Linked DNA regions of Lepisosteus oculatus. The protein of the gene in region 1 purifies or fractionates together with the protein of each later gene. This does not show direct contact. Links are inferred from orthologs where the notes say so. Each region holds a gene or a part of one and is shown on either strand. Other genes may lie near its edges.

Region 1 (9,429 bases):
ACAAATCATTCTAAAGAGAAATCAAAATATTTTACAAACATACTTTAAAATTGCCAATAAAATATAAATTGGGTGAAGACCTTTTCTCACCCCCTAAAAATGAAATCACAGAAGTCTCTGTTTACATCTTTATATTACAATCAATATGGTACCTTTAGTCAAGCCAGGTACTGTATGTTCATAGTTTTACCTGCTGAACAGTAAAAAGGGCTGTATTTCAGACTGGGATTCCCATATATAAGAAAGTGTTCTTTTAACCAAGGCTTTCATGGTAAACACAGACAAACATTATCAGATTCTTGGCACGGCCAGTGGTTTTATAAACTTGCCTTTTTTCTGATTAAAGATTCTGTTATTGGAACTGGGACTTCTTGCTCCCCAATCTCACTGACAATGCAAGTGCTAATTCCATGCTGTGATTCATCCCTTCCCTGCTTCATTCCATTAAAATCCAGCTGCGCTCAGCCCTGTGCAAGAAAGCCACAGATCAGGCTAGTACAATTCCTCAAAAAAATGCTAAATGTTAAGTGTTCCGGTGATAAGCATCTTGCTATCTAATCTTATGGTCTTTGCTAAAGGGCTAAAACTGTCCTTTTAAGTTATGTGTACCGAAGCGGTTTTATCTAAAGGCAGCTTCAGTTTGAAATGACATCAAGAATGTTTTGTATGTGTCATGTGGCACTTGTTTCTCATGCAACTGCTAAAGCTATATAACAAGAAGTAGGAAGAACGTCTTAAGGAATACATGGTGGCATGGAAAGCACAGCTCGATTTACACAGAAAAAAAACTTTGGGAAGGAGCCAGATTCAGTTCACTGTAGAAGTCGAAATGATTAAATTGATCAAAATGAAAAAAAATCAAATGTGCTTGGTTGTTGAGTGACTCAACAAACTATGAAAAGGCGGTTGCTGCAGGTGGAGCACTATGACCCAGAGGTCTCAGGCTAGAACCCGAGTCTGTAGCCTGCTGCTTAGGAAACCCCAGCTTACTGACTGGGATTCCCCTTGCAGCTGCTTGGAGTTAGTAAAGTATCGCCAGAGCAAGGCAGACAGCAATCAGTAAGGGCTCTCTCAGCTTTCCATCAAAGGCCAGCTTTCTGAGCACCCGGATGTGATGTCAGAGAGAAACCCACCCCTCATCCAGTCAGTACTAACTCTCCCGTCAGGCACCACTGAGCCTGCAGAGTGACCAAAGAGCAGCGTCTCAATAGGAGGGCAGGTCAGACTGAGGCTTGTCCCTCAGTCCTCATTCTCTCCTTCAGCAGTACTGGAGTCGCTGCTGTGAGCCGAGACAAAGAAACATTTGGCGAAAGCAAATTGGGTGTGGAAAGAAAATCAAAACTAGGAAAAAAATTGTTCAAATAAAAAAAATATTTCCCCCTTGCATCGCTAATCATACAATACAAACTGGAAGTAATGTTTCACTGAGTTAATTTTGAACTTTATGCTGCAAATATTGATTGCTATGCGATTGTCAAAATTTTCTTTCAGTTTATAAACCATTTAAAGCCCAAGTAACTAATATTACAGTACCTCAATGTTTATTTAGTAAGGTTTAAAATGAAAAGCACACAAAGTAATACGAAGGGTAATAACTTAATTCACTCTGATTTACCTGTTCTAACTATATTAAATGTTAAACATCTTTTTGCAATGTTTAGAAAATGTACCTCAGAGGTTTCCTAGTGAAGCTATAAGGGAGGTGTCTAATAGTGATGATTTGTTCTAGGATCTGCTGTCCTAGAATACAACAAGGATAGTGTGACAGGCCAGTTACTTGTCTAGAATGGCACCAGTACTGAAAGGACAAGCTTATAGACAAGTTCCAAAAAAGAAATTAAAAATTTTATTTAGTTTATAAAATGGGAAAGCCACCAATACAATAGCCGCTTTTAAATTATATGCCTTTTAACTTTCTATGTTTTGGGAATCACCAAGAAATATTTAGTGCTTGCTTAGGCGTATTACTAAGTAGTAAAATTCTACAAGAACTGAGTAGTAAAATTCATGGAAAAAAAATATTTGCCGACTTCTGTAATTGGGATTAACCTGGAAAGTTGTTTTTACATGATAAAATGGTAAAATACGTGCAGTAACAGTGATTCGTGCAATTCATTATGCTGTTTTTTTGTCAGTCTTCAGATCAATTGAAGCTATAAAACTGTTTAACATTAATATATCTCATTGCAGTACTGTATTTCTCTGTAAAAGACGTGCCTTCTGATTTTAAAGAGTATTTTCATAAAGGAACTTTCACTGCTGCACTAGTGAGTTTATCATAGCCTCGTTAGCCTGTAAATGCTACTTAAAAATCCGGAGGTAATCAGGGTTTATTATCGCTTTTAACAAATGATTTCATTCTTCTGACTTTTACAAAGCAATTAAGCACAGTGCCCATAATAGGCTACGAACACTAATACTGTGGTTTTGTAACCAAATTTAGAAGAGTGTTTTAATTAACATGTAGTTCTTTTACGGATCTTACAAGACTGAATGAAGATTAAAATCATTACACACAGCAGTACAGTCATGGGAGTGCCCTGAAGTCGCAGTTTAAATTAACCTTTAGGGTATCGGCTGTTCAAGGAACATTTAGCTACAGAATAAAACAATAAACGGCCTTATGCCATAACGTATTTATAAACAATCCAATCTGAATGAAGTAAATAATGTTTAGATTACACACACCTTAAGAAGTTAAATGCAATCAGATCAGAAACTACCCACAGTACAACCGGCTGGACGCTGGGCTCTCACCAAAAAGACCCAGGAGAACCCGGGGACCCGCCCGCAAACATGGTTTGAACTAGGTCCACAACAACAAATTATCGATTCCTCTTATTGGAAAAAAAAAGTTTTAACAGATCAAGGCTCTTCGTTGTAAAGTCACTCGCGGTAGGGAACATTTCACGACAAAACCATGTAATAACTGATTTATGAACGTGAAACAAACATATGGAGAGGTAGTGTGTATGTTTGGTAGATGGATAACAATATAAAACCCCAAACACCGCTATGTAAATAACTAAGTACATCAAACAATGAACAACCTTTATTATTTAGAAGCGCCGATACCTTAAAAAAACAAGATGCAATAAAATTCATGCTCACAGCGGGATGACAACATTGAGGAGCCAACCTAATCGACTTGTCAGTCTGTGTCAAAGCTCCTGTCGCTTGTTTGCAAAACACAAGGGCCACCCAAAAAATAAATCACAATTTCTACTCGCTTGTACAGATACAAATGACAACAAGCACGATCCCGATTAATAGTCATACGATTCTCGAGCTTTTGAGCATCTTCACGGTTTCAATTCTTACAACTTAAGAATTAAAAAATAATTTCAAGAATCTTCAGCAATTGCGAACCTCGCAGCACTGTAACTAGTCCTCTTTTTTTTCACAAAATATATGCCGAACAAAAAGGAGGGGCTTTGGATTTACGAAATCGACGTTGGTTTTAGCGGTCCTGGATTTTTTTTTCCTTCACGTTAGACATGGTGATTTATCTGCCGTCTTACCGTCGATATTCTCCCTGTCGCTGATGTGCTGAAGGTTGCAGCCCGTGTCTTCTCGGCTGAGCTCGGGCTCCGGGCGGTAGGACTCCAGCCTGGAGTGAGCGTTTCTCCGGAGCTTGGGGCTGGAGGACACGCAGCAGGACGTCGTGTTCCCCATTTTTAGGGTTGTTTTTTAATATACTCAGTGCTCTTCAGCTTTGCTTGGCAGCACAGACCGAAGCTGGTCTTGAAAGAGAAGGCTAGGGCGCCGAGGGTGGAACTGCAACACCAGAATATCCGATCAGTTATACACCCTCGTCCGGTCCTAGCTAGCAGCAGCAGCAGCAGCAGCAATAATGCAAAGCCATTTGCGAACAGAAAAAAGAGCAAGAAATCGGAGAAAGGTTTGAAACCCTCTCCCTTTTCTTTCTGCCCGCCTGATATTTTAAGCAGGCACTGAAATCTGCACAACCCACGCAGCAGTCTGGTTTACTTGTCGTGATTGATCTAAATAAACAAAACGAAAGGGGGTCTGCTGTTATCCCCTCGTCATTTTAAACCCATTAACAGGGGCATGTAAACTGAGGATGTTAGCGAAACATTGCAAGCGTCGCGGCTCCTGCTGTCAGTGTACATAGCAAACAGAGGCAACACAGTCGAAGCAGTTTGATTGAAAAGGTTCCGGTTCAAGTGGGTGGTAACGCTTCTGCAAAATTCGCTGCTGGGAGCCTAAAAATGTGTTGGACAGGAAAGAATGGAGGGCTCAAGCGTAATATGTAGTTTTTCTCCTGGAAATGAAGTTTTTCTCTTGTCGTAACTGCGTTTATTATTAAAATAGCTGTACTCATTTCGTATTTTGTAAATTAAGTAAATATAAGAACGGTTGTATGTTACACGTAATTTACTGTACACCACAGAAAGGTGTTGTTATCTGTTTTATATGAATACAAATGTTTCTTTTTGTTTTAGCTTTTTGTAAGTATGTTTGGCGCTAGGATAAAAAATGATTAAAACCTAGAAATTATAATGTTGGAAAGGTCTCTAAAAAGATATCTCGGATTATTTAAAAAAACGGTTTGGTCCCATTTCCTGCTGCCCAAATATTAGTAATTTTATTATTCCAGTAATCAAAGTAAATTGTGCCAATAAATAAAAAGACAGAAAAAGAGAAAGGAAATCCTTATTTATTAGCATATAAATGATGTCTATGGACATCACATACTCTTCACTTGGTGTTAAGTATTAATTTCTATCACATGTGGGAAAGCTGTAATAATTGAATAGATATTAGCTTAACCCGTCTGCTATCTGCGTGCTTGTTCACCCACAGACTGGGAGATCGTCAGTCTTACAATAGTTCTTTTTCCTACTGTAACACATTTTAGAGAAATTCAGATTTCTCTGCAGATAATGTTTACATGGTAAATGTCACATTTGTGTGACTTTGATAAAGATCAGTATAACACAAAAACTAAGAATTGCCTTTGCTTTGTTTTTGAGTGGTTTAAGGAACTTGCAAGAAATGTGTTTTGGGAATCACATAAAAAAACTACTAAGGAAAGTTCAGCAGTAGTTACGTTCCAATTACTATTACTAACATGTCAGCCATTAACTGCATATCAGATACACTTTTCACATGAAGCAAGTTTTTGTTTCTCAGTATCAGTTATGTTTCGTAATGTTGTGCAATGTTTTTTTATATGTCAGGGTCTGTTTCAAGTCCATTTGTGTTTTCTGTTTCAAATGTTTTGCAGTTCATTTTTATTTTCTACCTTCAAATAACAACCTTTAATATCAAGAGGATGTTATTTTAATGCACGTATATGAGAGTAGATTCAGCCTGAAGTGTTGACAAACAAGCTATTTGGATTCAATGGAAATCAGAGAAGGATACTGGGGGCCATTTCCTCTAAGTAGCTGTGTGAGGATTTGTTTAAAATTAGAGAGACCCAAACAAGCCTTACTTTACTCATTTCACAAACTACGAATTTGTGTTTCACTTTTTAAGTAACATTTTTTATTCATGTGGCCTTCAAAATTACATATATTTTTCTGTACATATCATGCTACAGTAGTGTACATCAGTAAAGTACTCAGCTAGTAAAGATCTTTTGAATATAAGGGTCCTAATCAGGGCTATGACTCTGTGTGGGTTGTAATTTGTGAAGGTTAGCTCAAGTCACTGAGGCCCTGGGTTCAACTCCAAACCTAGGGTGCTATTTGTTTGGAGTTAGTACATTCTCCACATGTTCGCGTGGGTTTCCTCCGGATGCTTCAGTTCCCTCCCAAAATCCAAAGACACACTGGTAAGTTTATTTGCTGCTGGGAATGTTGGCCCTGGTGCGAGTGTGTGTTTGTATATGTCTGTCCTACGATGGACTGGTGTCCCATACAGGGTGTACCCTGCCCTGCGCCCATTGCTTGCCAGGATAAGCTCCAGCTCCCCCGTGACCCTAAATTGGATGAAACGGTTAGGAAACGCATGGACAGAAGGAATTTGCCTCACAACAGTGTCCTGCATGGCAGAGAGAAGACAGCTCTAGAAATGAGACAGTGAAATCCTCAGCCTCACTTGCTACTGTCATGTTCTTTTCTGTATTTATGGGATTCCTAACATGGGCAGCATAACAGACACAATGCCCTCTGCTAAAACAGATAAAGACTGATGTGCCTTCATGCTGACTGTGACACCTTGAGGAGCTCCGATTACTAGTAAGGGCTTGTTATCTAGTTGAGAGATGAAAGGTCACCTATGTAGGTCTGTAGCAAAGATGGCAGAACTGCCCTGACATGACACAGCCATTGTTTATTATGTATGCAGGTCTGCATTACAAAATGAAATAGGATGTAAATCCAATTTGATTCAGAAATGTTTTTTTCATAGTGTGTTTACAGACGCATTTTCAAATTCTTGCTGATGATAATGATCAGGAATCTACAAATGATTCGGCAGCATTGTCAGTAGTTAGCAGTAAGGGGGGTTATTTATTAATAGGGGTTTTATCTAGTCAGCTACACATCACCTTGTTATTCATTCGATATCCTATCCACGAAATATCACATTAGTCTCTCTTCAGTTACTGTAAAGAGTGAATTAAGAACTGACTTGACAGGTCACAAAAGTACTGAGCTGCTCTCTTTTTACTTGATTGGAATCTAAGTTAGTTGTTAGGTTTGATTTTCTAAGGTCTTTCCACAAGCTGTTGGGTTGCACACATCTATTGTGGTTATGTCATCTTTAGCTTTGCGGGACTCCTCCTTCTGTCTCCTTTTTCCTCTTTCATTATGCTGTGCAGTGGAGAAAGGTAACGTTAAAAATACAAATGCAGTTATTTACATATACCTAAACTAGAACTATTCGGTAGTTGTTTGATCAAAGTGAAATATTTAAACATAAGGTGAAAATGACAGCTCTCTACACTGGCATGTTGAGCAGCCTTGAAAATGAATGAAACCCAACCATAACCTGCTACCTCATCAACTGAATACACCTCTTCAGCACTAATAACACAAGAAAGGTTGCAAATAAGAGGAGGACCTTCTGCCCATGTAGCCCATTTGGAGTTTAGTAGCTAATTCATCTAAAGATTGTATCCAGCTGATTCTTGAAACAAGCCAGGGTATCCATTTGAACAAAATGGCTGAGCAGACGGTTCCATACTTACATAACCTTTTGGGTAAAGAAATATTTTATTTTCTCAAATCTAAATACACTTTTGTCTAGTTTTCTGTTGAGACCTTTTCTAACCCGTTTCATCCATTTCAGGGTCATTAAAGAGCCAGAGGCTATCTTGACAAGAGATGGAAGTAAGGCAGAGTATTCCCTGGACAGGATGGCAACCCACTGAACTAAGCAGGTGTGAGCCTGGTCAGTACCTGGATGGAAGACCAACTGGGAAAGCTAAGGTTGCTGCCTGGAAGAGGTGTTAGTGGGGCCAGCAGGGGGCGCTCACCGTGCAGTCTGTGTGGGTCCTAACACCCCAGTATAGTGACATTATACTTTAAAAAGGCGCCATCCTTCGCATGAGACGTAAAACCGAGGTCCTGGCTCTCTTTGGTCATTACAAATCCCAGGATGTTTCGCGAGAAGAGTAGGGGTGTAGCCCTGGCATCTGGGCCAAATTTCACATTGGCTTTTAATCAGTCATGGCCATGATTAAACCTGTGATTTGGCTTCAACACTCAGCTCTCCTCACCAACGATAGCTGATGTGTGGTGAGTATACTGGCGCACTATGACTGTCGCATCATCCAGGTGCATGCTGCACATTGGTGGTAGTGGAGGGGAGTCCCCGTTACCTGTAAAGCGCTTTGAGTGGAGTGTCCAGAAAAGCACTATGTAAGTGTAAGCAATTATTAATTATTATTATTATTATTATTCAACTCACACAAACAGAGGGAGAACATACAAACTCCACACAGATAGTACTCCAGGCCTGAAATTGACCTCAGGGTCCTAACACTGTGAGGCAACAGTGCTAACCACTGTGCCACTATGCCTCCACACTTTCTATTACGTATCTAAACATCGGTTGCCCCTTTACTTTTTCAGTACATTGATTAAAAGATGTTAATGATCAGGCAACACAAACCAAAGTGTTTTTCACTAGTAGCCTCTTCAAGGGAAGAGCAACACAACCCTCTGCAGCTCCTTCTGTCCTTGCTGTGGGTGCTGCAGGTGGGCAGTGTGTATGAATGACAGAATCTAGGAGTATTAGAACTTGTGTCACACAGCTGGGAGCCTTCAGTTGTTGAGGTACCACTTTGTATGATTACAGGTTGCCCTGGAGAGTAAATGTGATTTAGAGCTAACCTGTAACTTTAGATGCCATTCCACAGCAGTTAAGGACTGTGTTGAGTCAGGCCCCTTCTGCCTTCTGTATTTACTGAAGTGTGTCACCGTTCCAGTCTTTTTAAGTGCTTGTTTTATGTGTTGGTCACTAATGGACTTGATGAATTGTTCTCTGGTCAGGTCAAAATATATATACACTGTGGTGCAAAACAATAAAGGCATTTTTTCCTATACAGGGTGGCAGTGAGCTGGTGCCTAATTCAGCAGGCACTGGGCTCCTAGCACAGGATACATAGACATAATGAAGACTCCTTAAAGATGCCAGTTAACATAAACAGTATGTATTTTGATAGTGGGAGAAAACCAGAGAAGGAGAGCATGCAAACTCCACAAAAAAATCAAACCAGGACTCAAGAGCTATAAAGCAGCAGTGCTAAATGCCATGCCACTGTATCAACCTAATTTAAAAGATGAACTATTTAAATATATCATGATAAATGACCTTTGGTGAGCTTTCTAATGAACCTTTGTACATCAGAAAGGTCACCAAAGAGAGGTCATTAGGCCTAATGCGTTTGTTTGATTGTCTGTATTCCGGGAATAAGATACTAGTTGTGGTGGCTGTCCTCTAGAACACCTGAAATCTCCTTGAACCATAATCAGAAAGGGAGAACTTAGAATAGTCAATGAAACTTAACATACATGTGCAATGATGTGGTATATCCCGAAGGCTACAATGCCCTGACACCTGGTCTTATTCCAAGTGTTGGGCTCAGCAATGAAGATGAGAACAGAGAAAACACAGTCCAGGCTCTATAGGGAAGTTCCAGAAATCATGATCGAGCTAGAAGGGTTCATAGCCAGGAAGACATGAGGAGACACCCCAGGCTAGTCCAGATTCATGGTCAGGAAAACCTAGCAAAGGTCAGTACAAAGTAAGCAAAGTAAAGAGCAAACAAAGTGAGAGACAGATCACTAGCAGAGCAAGCCAGGTCATCACTGACAAGGTGCAAACTCCAATGACTGAACACCGAGCAAGACCTCAACATGTGTTTGTTGTTTTGTCTCCTCAAATCTCCACTCAGACAGGTACCCCAGATGAGAATTATGCCCAGGACCCTTAAGCTGAGAGGCATTAGTG
Region 2 (9,257 bases), on another chromosome or scaffold:
AAATATGTTTTGGCTACTGTGAAGCTCTAAAATCTATACAAGTCCAAAACTCTAAAATTTAAATAAATCCAAAATTATATACATATAAATAAACACAGTAGTGTTAGTGTGCCAGCTCTAATGGCCTTTTTAAATAATATGACTGGTGCTGGTCCATAATGTGCAGGAACCCATTAGTGTTTGTGAGGGTTTCATTCAAGCCAGCGTTTATTTGTTGCCATTATTTTATACTACAGGACAATCAATACTCCTGTTAACTGAACCATGAAATTGTACTCTCTTTATAAAGCATATCACAGACACCTTCAGCTTAAAGGAAAAGCTAATTGCTCATCTCCAAAAGAATAACAATTTATTATGACAACGCTCTCTTGATGAAGGTAATACACCCGGAATCATTGATATTGGAAAAACTTCAATATTGTTAACAGCGTTTCAAAAAAGTGTGAAGACTGCTTTATCTTTATATGTTAAATAAATCAAAATGGCCAAATAATCTACAGTAAGGACCTTCCCAACACACGGCAAATAAGCTAAGAGCATAACAAGAAGAATTATTTTGTTAATGATTAACAGGGGTTTTAACCACATCGCTCATTGTTTTCATAAACCAACTCAAAATACTATAAACATTGCATTGTTGTGCAGTATGAAATATAGTCTCCTCCACAATTTTGTTAAATGTTTTGGTATAACAATCATCTTTTGTATAATAATGTGCAAAGAGATACTATTGGCTTTTAATTTGTTTATGCGCGTATTCTATGATAAAGTTGTAATGCCACATGTTTATAGATCTCAGAGAGATGCTCCATTTAGTGTAAATTAGGTTTTCTTTATTAGCAATGTTCATTTTCTGAGAAACTTCTTATTGTAACAAATGCAAAAATATTTATTCATCCAAAGTCTTACTCCTTGACTTACAACCAAAACATACAGATGCCAGCTCTCCCTTAAAATCAATTAAAAAAAACATTTCATAATGAATAAGCTGTCAGCCTCAACATTCCAAAGTGATGGAGCTACCACAAAAGACATCCAAAAACATGTCACCAGTTAGATCTGTTAACACAAGGATAAATCAGAGGAACAAGAAAAAGAATTACATTCTGTATACAAAATCCAGAATTCTCATATTTTTATTTTCGAATGCAAAAGTTCAAATACACTGCCCCGAGAGCCATAAACAGTATTCATACTGTTGTCTTGTCTTTGCTGATGGTTCCTAAGAGAGAGAGATCATCATGTTATAAAACTCATAATAAAAACATCGGAAACTAAACAGTTGCATAATAAATTATACAGGTAGTAATTTTGTAAAAAAAAAAAAAGATACTTGCATTCTTTTCAGTCCTGCTAGAGTTTGCATCCCTTTTTATTTTAAAAACTTTATGCACAATCAGACCAATCCAGGAAGAAAGAACTGCCTCACATTCTCTCAAAACAATATCGTAAGAACGTTTCAGTGTGTACAGGGCTTATAAAACAATTACTATTTCTAAAAAACTCAGAAAGACGATCATTTTTGCTGTTATTGTTTTTAGTTCTTCCCATGATCTTAAAATGCAGCATTGTAATTGCTGTATACTACTACTGTGTGTTTTACCACATTGTTAATTCTGCCATTAATAATTCACTGCAGCCTTGGACCTAGGTAAACCTCTCTACAACATACTTCATATCCTGGGAATACAATGCAAATGGAAATTTCTTTTAATATTTCATACCAATTGTAAGCATGACCCATGTCTAGTGTACATTCAATTTGCATTGCAGTGAATATTCTTAGAGGTCTTGTATCAGGGCTACACCTCATATTTCTCCCCGAGTTCGATGTATTTTTCAGTAATGATCATTGCTAGGCGCTCTCCGTGCCAATAAAAAGATACAAAAATCACGTTTTATTAAACTGTTGCCTATTTTAATGTTTAATGATGGAGATATCACGTGTACATTAAAGCGTAATGACACAGACATTGGACATGAAATGCAGAGTAAAAGCAACGTGCCAAATATTGTCCCCTGTCGTTCTCTAGCTAAAGTAACATGTTTTGATTTTCCAAAACTCAAAACGGTCACAAATCTCGATGTGAATGTCGTCTCATGACGACTGTAAACGGCAGCTGATAATGAAAGAAAAGAGTGACTTTAGGTTCGTGCACCATTCGTGGCTACAGACAACGGGAGAACAAGACTGGGGTTTACTGAGTTTGAATTTCTAAATTAAGCGCTTCAATCAGCAAGTACAAATCCAACAACAGTTAACTGCAATTAGACAACAACTAGACTTCACTTCACTAGGGACAAACTCGTGTACAGTATCCCTACAAGGCGTCCCCATTAAACAACACTGTGCGGTTTAAGATTTTCAGAACAATGACGTAATGCTCTTTGTTTTATCTTCCACGTGAAACTGACACTAAATCGGTGCGCAGAGGCATTAATTCCCAGTGTTGCAAGAACCCAATTGCTTCGTGCCACGGCGTGTGTGCAAAAACAAATTTCTGCGACACCAAGCGCACACCGGTGTTCATGCAAAACGCGCCGCTAATGGTGATTTCAACTGGACTTTTACAAGCTAGGTTCATGTATTGTACTCCCCCAGGACAGAATTTGTTTCTCCCGCCCCCCCAAAAACATTCTGCTAATCCTTAGAAACCCCGCGGTTCTGCTTTCGAGCATTTCTTCTGTGTTCGTCTGTGAAATTATAGTTCATTGGGGAATCTTATCTGGGATAAGAAGCTGCAGCTCGGGTGCTTTAAGAGCATAGCCAGGTCTACTGCGGCCAATGGCCACCTCGTTATCAATGAGCTCAGGTTACCAGGTTTTGCTAATCGTGACGCCCGGTGTCCTCTGCAGCTGTACCTAGCATAAAAGCTGGTCAAAGGTATCTCTGAACTACTCTTCACGCTTGTTGGGATCCTTAAAGGTGTTTAACATTTTTGTTAAAAGCGAGAAAGGGGTCCTGTTGATTCCCAGCTGAGCGTTTTGTTGTCGGTTTGAAACTTTTACAATTTTTCAGCGCGCTACCACGGGCAAATGATGGTCATTCCGTTAATGCACACAGGTGACAAAGCACAGTACCTAAAGAAGACATCCACAGTCTCCCATTTAAAAAAAAATAAATAAGCTGGTGTATAAAAGCCTGAGAGGTACTGTATCTGCCCAGACGTCAGCTACAAACTGATACCCCTTTACGGAATGAAGGTATCTAAACTATTTACGGTCCACAGACCCGGTTGCATCGGACCTGCATTGTGCGGTAGTGCGGAGAATTTCAGTAACGCAAATGATAAGTGTTTTATCAACCTCTTTCTCAGTTTTAATTCAAGGAATGTCCTACAAAGAGCCCTCATTGTACTCAAGACAATCGCTAAAAGATACGAGCCAGGACCCTAACAATACTTTGCTGAACAAAAAAAAAACCAGGCAGGCGACTCTACTTACTTATTCGGTTGAAACTCTCCGACAAAGTTCTTCGTAACTTTTTCATTTTGCCGATTTTTTCAGCGGGCTGCGAGGCTGGCATGAAGTCACACATTTCGATTCCCGGTTGGACCGGAGTCGGTAAAAGAAAAGGTCCAACACCAGAGATCCTGGGAAGAAAAGTCGTCGGGGGCAAAGAGGAATCGAGCAAGCGGCGTCTCCGCTTTTGCTATGCTGTCAAACCCAGGAAATGTGCTCTGCGAGAAGCTCCCGTTTTCAAAGAGGCATTTTCTTGCGCTAGTTTTTTTTTTTCTTTCAGGTTTTTGCACTTGCGAACTTCATTTCTTGAGGCAGAGCATCACTGCTGGCGATTTAAAAGAACTGAAACTTTACAACGTGCCCAAGAAAGGATGTGCTTTTTTAAAAAAAAAAACACGTCTTCCGCAGGTCTGTGTCAATTTCTCACTCTCTTTGCTTTCACTGTTTTTCTCTCAGTCTGGATGTCATTTTCGGGATTCTCTTTTCGGGAGGGGGAGTAAAAGAGGGGAAAAATCCCACCTCTGCCAGCCCATGATTGGTCAACTGCAGTCAATCTGGGTTGTGATACACTATCGGTCCCTTCAATCAGAAAGTAACGACTGTAAGGTCAGTCATCGCTCCGATTCGAGCTGCGTGCTTTAAACCCACAAAGTTTCTTACAGGGTTTTTAGACGAGAAAAAAAATGCGTCCCTTAATAATAATTGCAGGACACTTTGCATCGTCTCTTTATGTTTCTCTTTTTGTTTGTGTTTTGATTATACTTTGAAATAACAGTGAAAGGCTTTAATCTTTATAAAACTATTAGTAATGCTGTATATTAATGTTGAGCGAACGAGCTTTGGTCACTTACAAATCCGGGTTTTCTATCAAAGAAGGCCAGTTGTACATTTGCAAATAAAAGTTTCAGCTCTTTTATCAGCCTCTAGTTCCATCCCGCATTCCAGCACGCCCAGGGTACTTTTCAAGTGGGTTTATATTAAGTAATTTTATTTCATGCATTGTAGTCTGTATAAATAATCATTAAAGTTGGAATTGTGACAATACAGAAATTTAGTTTCGGTATTTATGGAATTGCAGCATCTTTAAATATGAAATACACGAGAAGAAATGAAGGGTTTCATAGTCTAATTTTACTTTTATACTAAATATGAATCTTAATCTGACGGTCTTGCACGAACCGTGTTAAAAGTCTTGTGTGCCTATACAGTAGATAACATCACTTTATTATTAACCCTTTACAATGTCTTGCAAGATCTTATTTTAAGGACATATTTTAAATTTAGACAATGGGGGTTGGGATTTGAAAAGTTAGTGGTTTTAAAATGGATTATAAACTTAATGTATTACGTTTAACATTGCTTATTATTGATTCTAAACATTTAGGTGACAGGTTGGCTGTAAAATGTAATTTCTTATTCTTTAATTTGCTCTGAAATGATGATAGTGCTAAAACCGTAGCTCTGTACTCTAATGAGTCCTCATTCTTTGCTTGCAAAGAACGACTTTCATTTAAAAATCACATCTCTCCCCTTGTTTGAAGTCTTTACAAGGGCCCTTCATGCTGGAAAAAAAGAACCGGGAGATGAAATAAAGGTCATCTTCACAGCCCCTCATAAAGAAGAGCACCTTTCCAATCGCCTGTCATTCTGAATTACACCAGAACCTGTGATGCATAATGTGCGGTTCATCATTTTCTTTACCTTCCTTTTACTAGATGATATGTGAGCAAAGTGAAATTTGGTACAACTTTCCATAGCAGGGAGGTAAAAAAAGGATAACATACAGTACCAACTCTTTACATATGAAAGGTCTTTCACAAGCAGTGCTGGTAATACACTGGCACCTTGAGGTGTCTCCTGTCTGTTGTCCATGTCTTAGTTTCATTAAGGCAGATGGGAATCACAACTGCTTGATACAGCAGGGGTTGAGCTTGGTTTAGCTGAGGACACAGTCTGGGAGCAGTTGCGTGTACATGCAGCCAAAGGCTGAATTTGCATATTTGTGGCGATGTTGATCCTCTTAATCGATATCAGCCGGTCTGATGTTCCCCAAGTTCAAGTCACAGGAAATGCTACGTGTTCAACAGAGTCTCCTAGCAAATCTAAATTGCCAGGGCTGTAGGCTTCTTATTCTCTGTTCTGAAACAGTCGCAGGAGGTTAAATTCCCTACCTTACAGTAATTTAACTTTTATTAAGGAATATTAAAAGAAATGTTAGGGTTGACTCCTGTCATAACATCAGTGGCGCTTGTACAGTAATTCACAAATCAGAATAATTGCTCATGCTCAGGCATGCATCATTGTCAGGCATGTCTCCTACCGTATCTTCCAAACTATTATCATCTTGAAACAGGTGGAGAACAATGATTAATTTCTGCATTAATGGCTTCAATCTCTTTAATATGATCTTCCAAAGTGCTTCTGAGTTGAAAGAGTCAAAGGATGCCATGAATAGAGTTTGTTTTGTCCTCAACATTGTCCTGTAGCATGTAAGCACTGAAGATCATGTCAGTTGTGCCTCTTAGTCGACTGCACCTACAATGGGATTCTGGGAGAAGCTCTTCAGTAAGCGAAAGGAGACAAATCTGGAGGGTTCTCGCAATGAGACAGCAAGCTGATTTCCATTGTCAGGTGTGTAGCCTGTCCTCCAAACTATCATCATCAAGGCATCCTACAGGGTCACTGGGGCTTTTCTCATCATCCTCGATCCACAGCACAAAGGCTTGGGACTCTGCTGTGAGCACCTCCCACTGCTTGAAGGCTTTGGCAAGGTCTGCATCAGCTCCAAAAGTCTTTTTGTTCTTCATCCACTTAATCAACTTCCTTCCTGCATTAAGGCTCATCTCGACAAAGTCTTGACTGAGGAGGCACTCAAAACACTTCTTGTAATGTGCATTAACAACTTCTTTCTCCTTGATGACAATTTTTTCTGTTCTTAGGTCTCGAGGGGGCTTGTGCCTGAGTGCTCAGACCACACAGTAAATGGTTTTGGCAAAAAGTCACACGTATTATGTACACCATGTTTCTTCATGTCATGGATCACTCTTTTAACCTCTATCTTGACTCACTAGTGATTGCTTTTTTTTTTGGACTTGCTGTCATTCTTCTGCTAATGTATTATATAGAAATGGCAACATCATAAATCTTTGGTTTGGAGCTTGACATTATAATATGTAAACAAAAGTCTTTCAGTAGAACGTTTTTGTTGTCATGACTGTAGGTGAGTTCACAGTCATAGGAGAGCCCTTGCTGGTAAAGGAGGCTTAATTTATTCCACTCACTGCCTTAAATAGAGTCCTCACGGGAGGTTGTGCAAATCACTGTGCTGCTGAGTTTCACATCACATTCTCATCACACTGCAGAGCATCTCCACATATTTGCAATATAAAACTTTGGGGCCTTGGGATACAATATTCACATTTTGGATAATGTATTAGCTTTAGATGTGCTGTACAGTAATCAAACTCTACCTCGTAATTCCATGTCTTGGTAGTACTGCATGTCTCCGAGTATTGTTTTCATAGCTGTGTTCAGCCTGTGTGGTTTTAAATAAGAAAACCAATTGATAAACAGCAGTGTACTTCAACTGGCACATACAATGCCTTCCAGATATATTCATACCCCAGATGAAATTTTATGAAGTCTTATAGACAGATTATCATGAAAAGTCAGATGTTTTGACATGCTTGTCAGCATTGTGAAAAAAAGTTAAGATCATTCTGAGAAAATATCCATGCCCATTGTGAAATGTGGGGTCTGTTATGTTTTGTGATTGTTTTGTATTTACAGGCCCTGGAATCATGAACTCCAACATGTCCCAAGATATTTGATAACACCTGTTTCCTTCTGTCAACAAATAGGCATTCTAGCATGACAATGATCCAAGGCATACATCTAAATCAACAAAGAAATCTTTAACTGAATGCAAAATAAATGTTCTCAGCTGGCCATTGCAATCTCACACATCAATTTAATAGAACATGATGGTCTGAACTCAAGAAAGCAGTTTAGCAACGGGAGCCAAAGTGTCTGAAGGAATAAGAGCAATTCTTCCTTAAATAATGGTAAAAAATCCCCCGTCAGAAATGCCAGAGGCTCACACACCTACTAGAGGTGTAATCCCTGCCAGAGGAGGATTTACAAAATACTTAGGTGAAAATATATATGATCCTTGTGTTTTCTGGACATTTATCTAGGACAAATATGACTTTGCTCTGTACAATGATATTAAGACTACATTAAGAATTTTTTTTACTTTTTCCAGAAAGAGACATTATCCTAGCCATAAATCTTTACTATATGATACATTATATATACACACCGTATGATGTATTTTTTCTTCCTATTCCACTGAATGAATAGGTGGACATGAATAAATCAGGAGGACACTATGTATGGGTTTGAGAGATTAGGTGGTTCTTTATGTTTGGTATTTAAAATGATATTGGGGCTTGCCTGCATTGCTAGTGGTAATCCAGCTGTTTACAAATACCAGCCTGAAAGTCTACCTCCTCATGCAGATGCAGCACAACCAAACTGATTACAGACCATGTGTTCAACAGAATTACATTGCCAGGGCAAAGATGGCTCACAAATTTCAATGAGAATTTCTAAGACTTTTTTGGCATACAGTATGTTAAAAGACTAAGCAATGGGCTGTTTTTGCCATCCACCAATTTTGACACTGAGCACAAATTGAAACTTTTAACCAAACTATGTGGATAAATGCATGCTGCAGGGCAGCGCAGGCACTGTACATTGATGTCTTGTTTATAGAACAGAAATGGGTTAGCTAAGACCTTAACAGCTACTGCCAAGTTGGGTGCAATACGATTGTCTTCACTTAGGGCTGTTGTACTCCTTAGGAGGACTAGGGCAACCTATGAATAATAATAATAATAATAATAATAATAATAATAATAATAATAATAATAATAATAATAATATTAGGGCAACCTATTATCCTATATGAGTCTGGGAACAACAGCTATGAGGGTCATAATTGGAACAGCAAGCTCATTTAATTGCTAACTGGTAATTGATCTGAAAATCCCATCCAGCGATTTTGAGAAAGAAGCCAGAGCATCAACTTTGACAACTCATACAGTATGGCTGCGTTACTTGTTCCACACTCCCACAAGCCTTTGTGTAAAGATGTTCTTCCCACAATCAATCAACCAATCAAGGTTTATTTATCAATGCATAAGCAGTACAGAATACGATTGTCTTGTGTTGTCGGCAATGAAATGCATTGTCTGCGAGCTCGTTAAGAGCTCAAGCTTGAATAAGACTTTTGGTGAAACTGCAGATAACGTCAGCTGAATGAATGTTACCTGAACAATGTGAAGTGAACTAGCAGCAGCCTCACTGAACAAACTTTTATTCCTTTTGTAAGTATACAGTAGCTAATCAAATTACCTGTATACCACTACTGTAAAATACAAGCATTGCTAACAAATGGCATATGTCTATAGAACCAAAAGAAATCAAATAACATTACCATATTATTACACATAACACTTTGTTTGATCTTCCAGACGATTTTCTAGAAATGCAATAATCCCCCACTCCCCACCTTCTCTCTAAAACTTTCGCTCATAATTGAAATAAATTGTTTTTGTTTCAGACATTTCCTTCCTGCAGATTTCAGGGTTGATTACACTGTAGCACAAAAGAGCTCAAGTGATGTAGGGGCATGCTGAATTGAATAAGGTTCTTATTGGAAGCACTCCCATTATAATCTGGAGCAGTTCTAAAACAGTTTCCTGCTCTGCTAATTCAAAGTCCTTTCC

The links.
Region 2: the proteins of ccny (region 1) and cdk14 purify together in Homo sapiens (affinity purification with western blotting; 3 studies listed by BioGRID and IntAct, with this or other methods). This does not show direct contact. The link is inferred for Lepisosteus oculatus from reciprocal best matches to the Homo sapiens genes CCNY and CDK14.

The regions. Positions count from the first base shown.
Region 1 is NC_090701.1:38,336,416-38,345,844, forward strand, and holds the start of ccny (cyclin-Y), read right to left. Parts: upstream 4,190-9,429; 5' UTR 3,676-4,189; coding exon 3,522-3,675; intron 1-3,521. UniProt on the Homo sapiens protein: Positive regulatory subunit of the cyclin-dependent kinases CDK14/PFTK1 and CDK16.
Region 2 is NC_090705.1:5,601,673-5,610,929, forward strand, and holds the start of cdk14 (cyclin-dependent kinase 14), read right to left. Parts: upstream 3,966-9,257; 5' UTR 3,542-3,965; coding exon 3,448-3,541; intron 1-3,447. UniProt on the Homo sapiens protein: Serine/threonine-protein kinase involved in the control of the eukaryotic cell cycle, whose activity is controlled by an associated cyclin.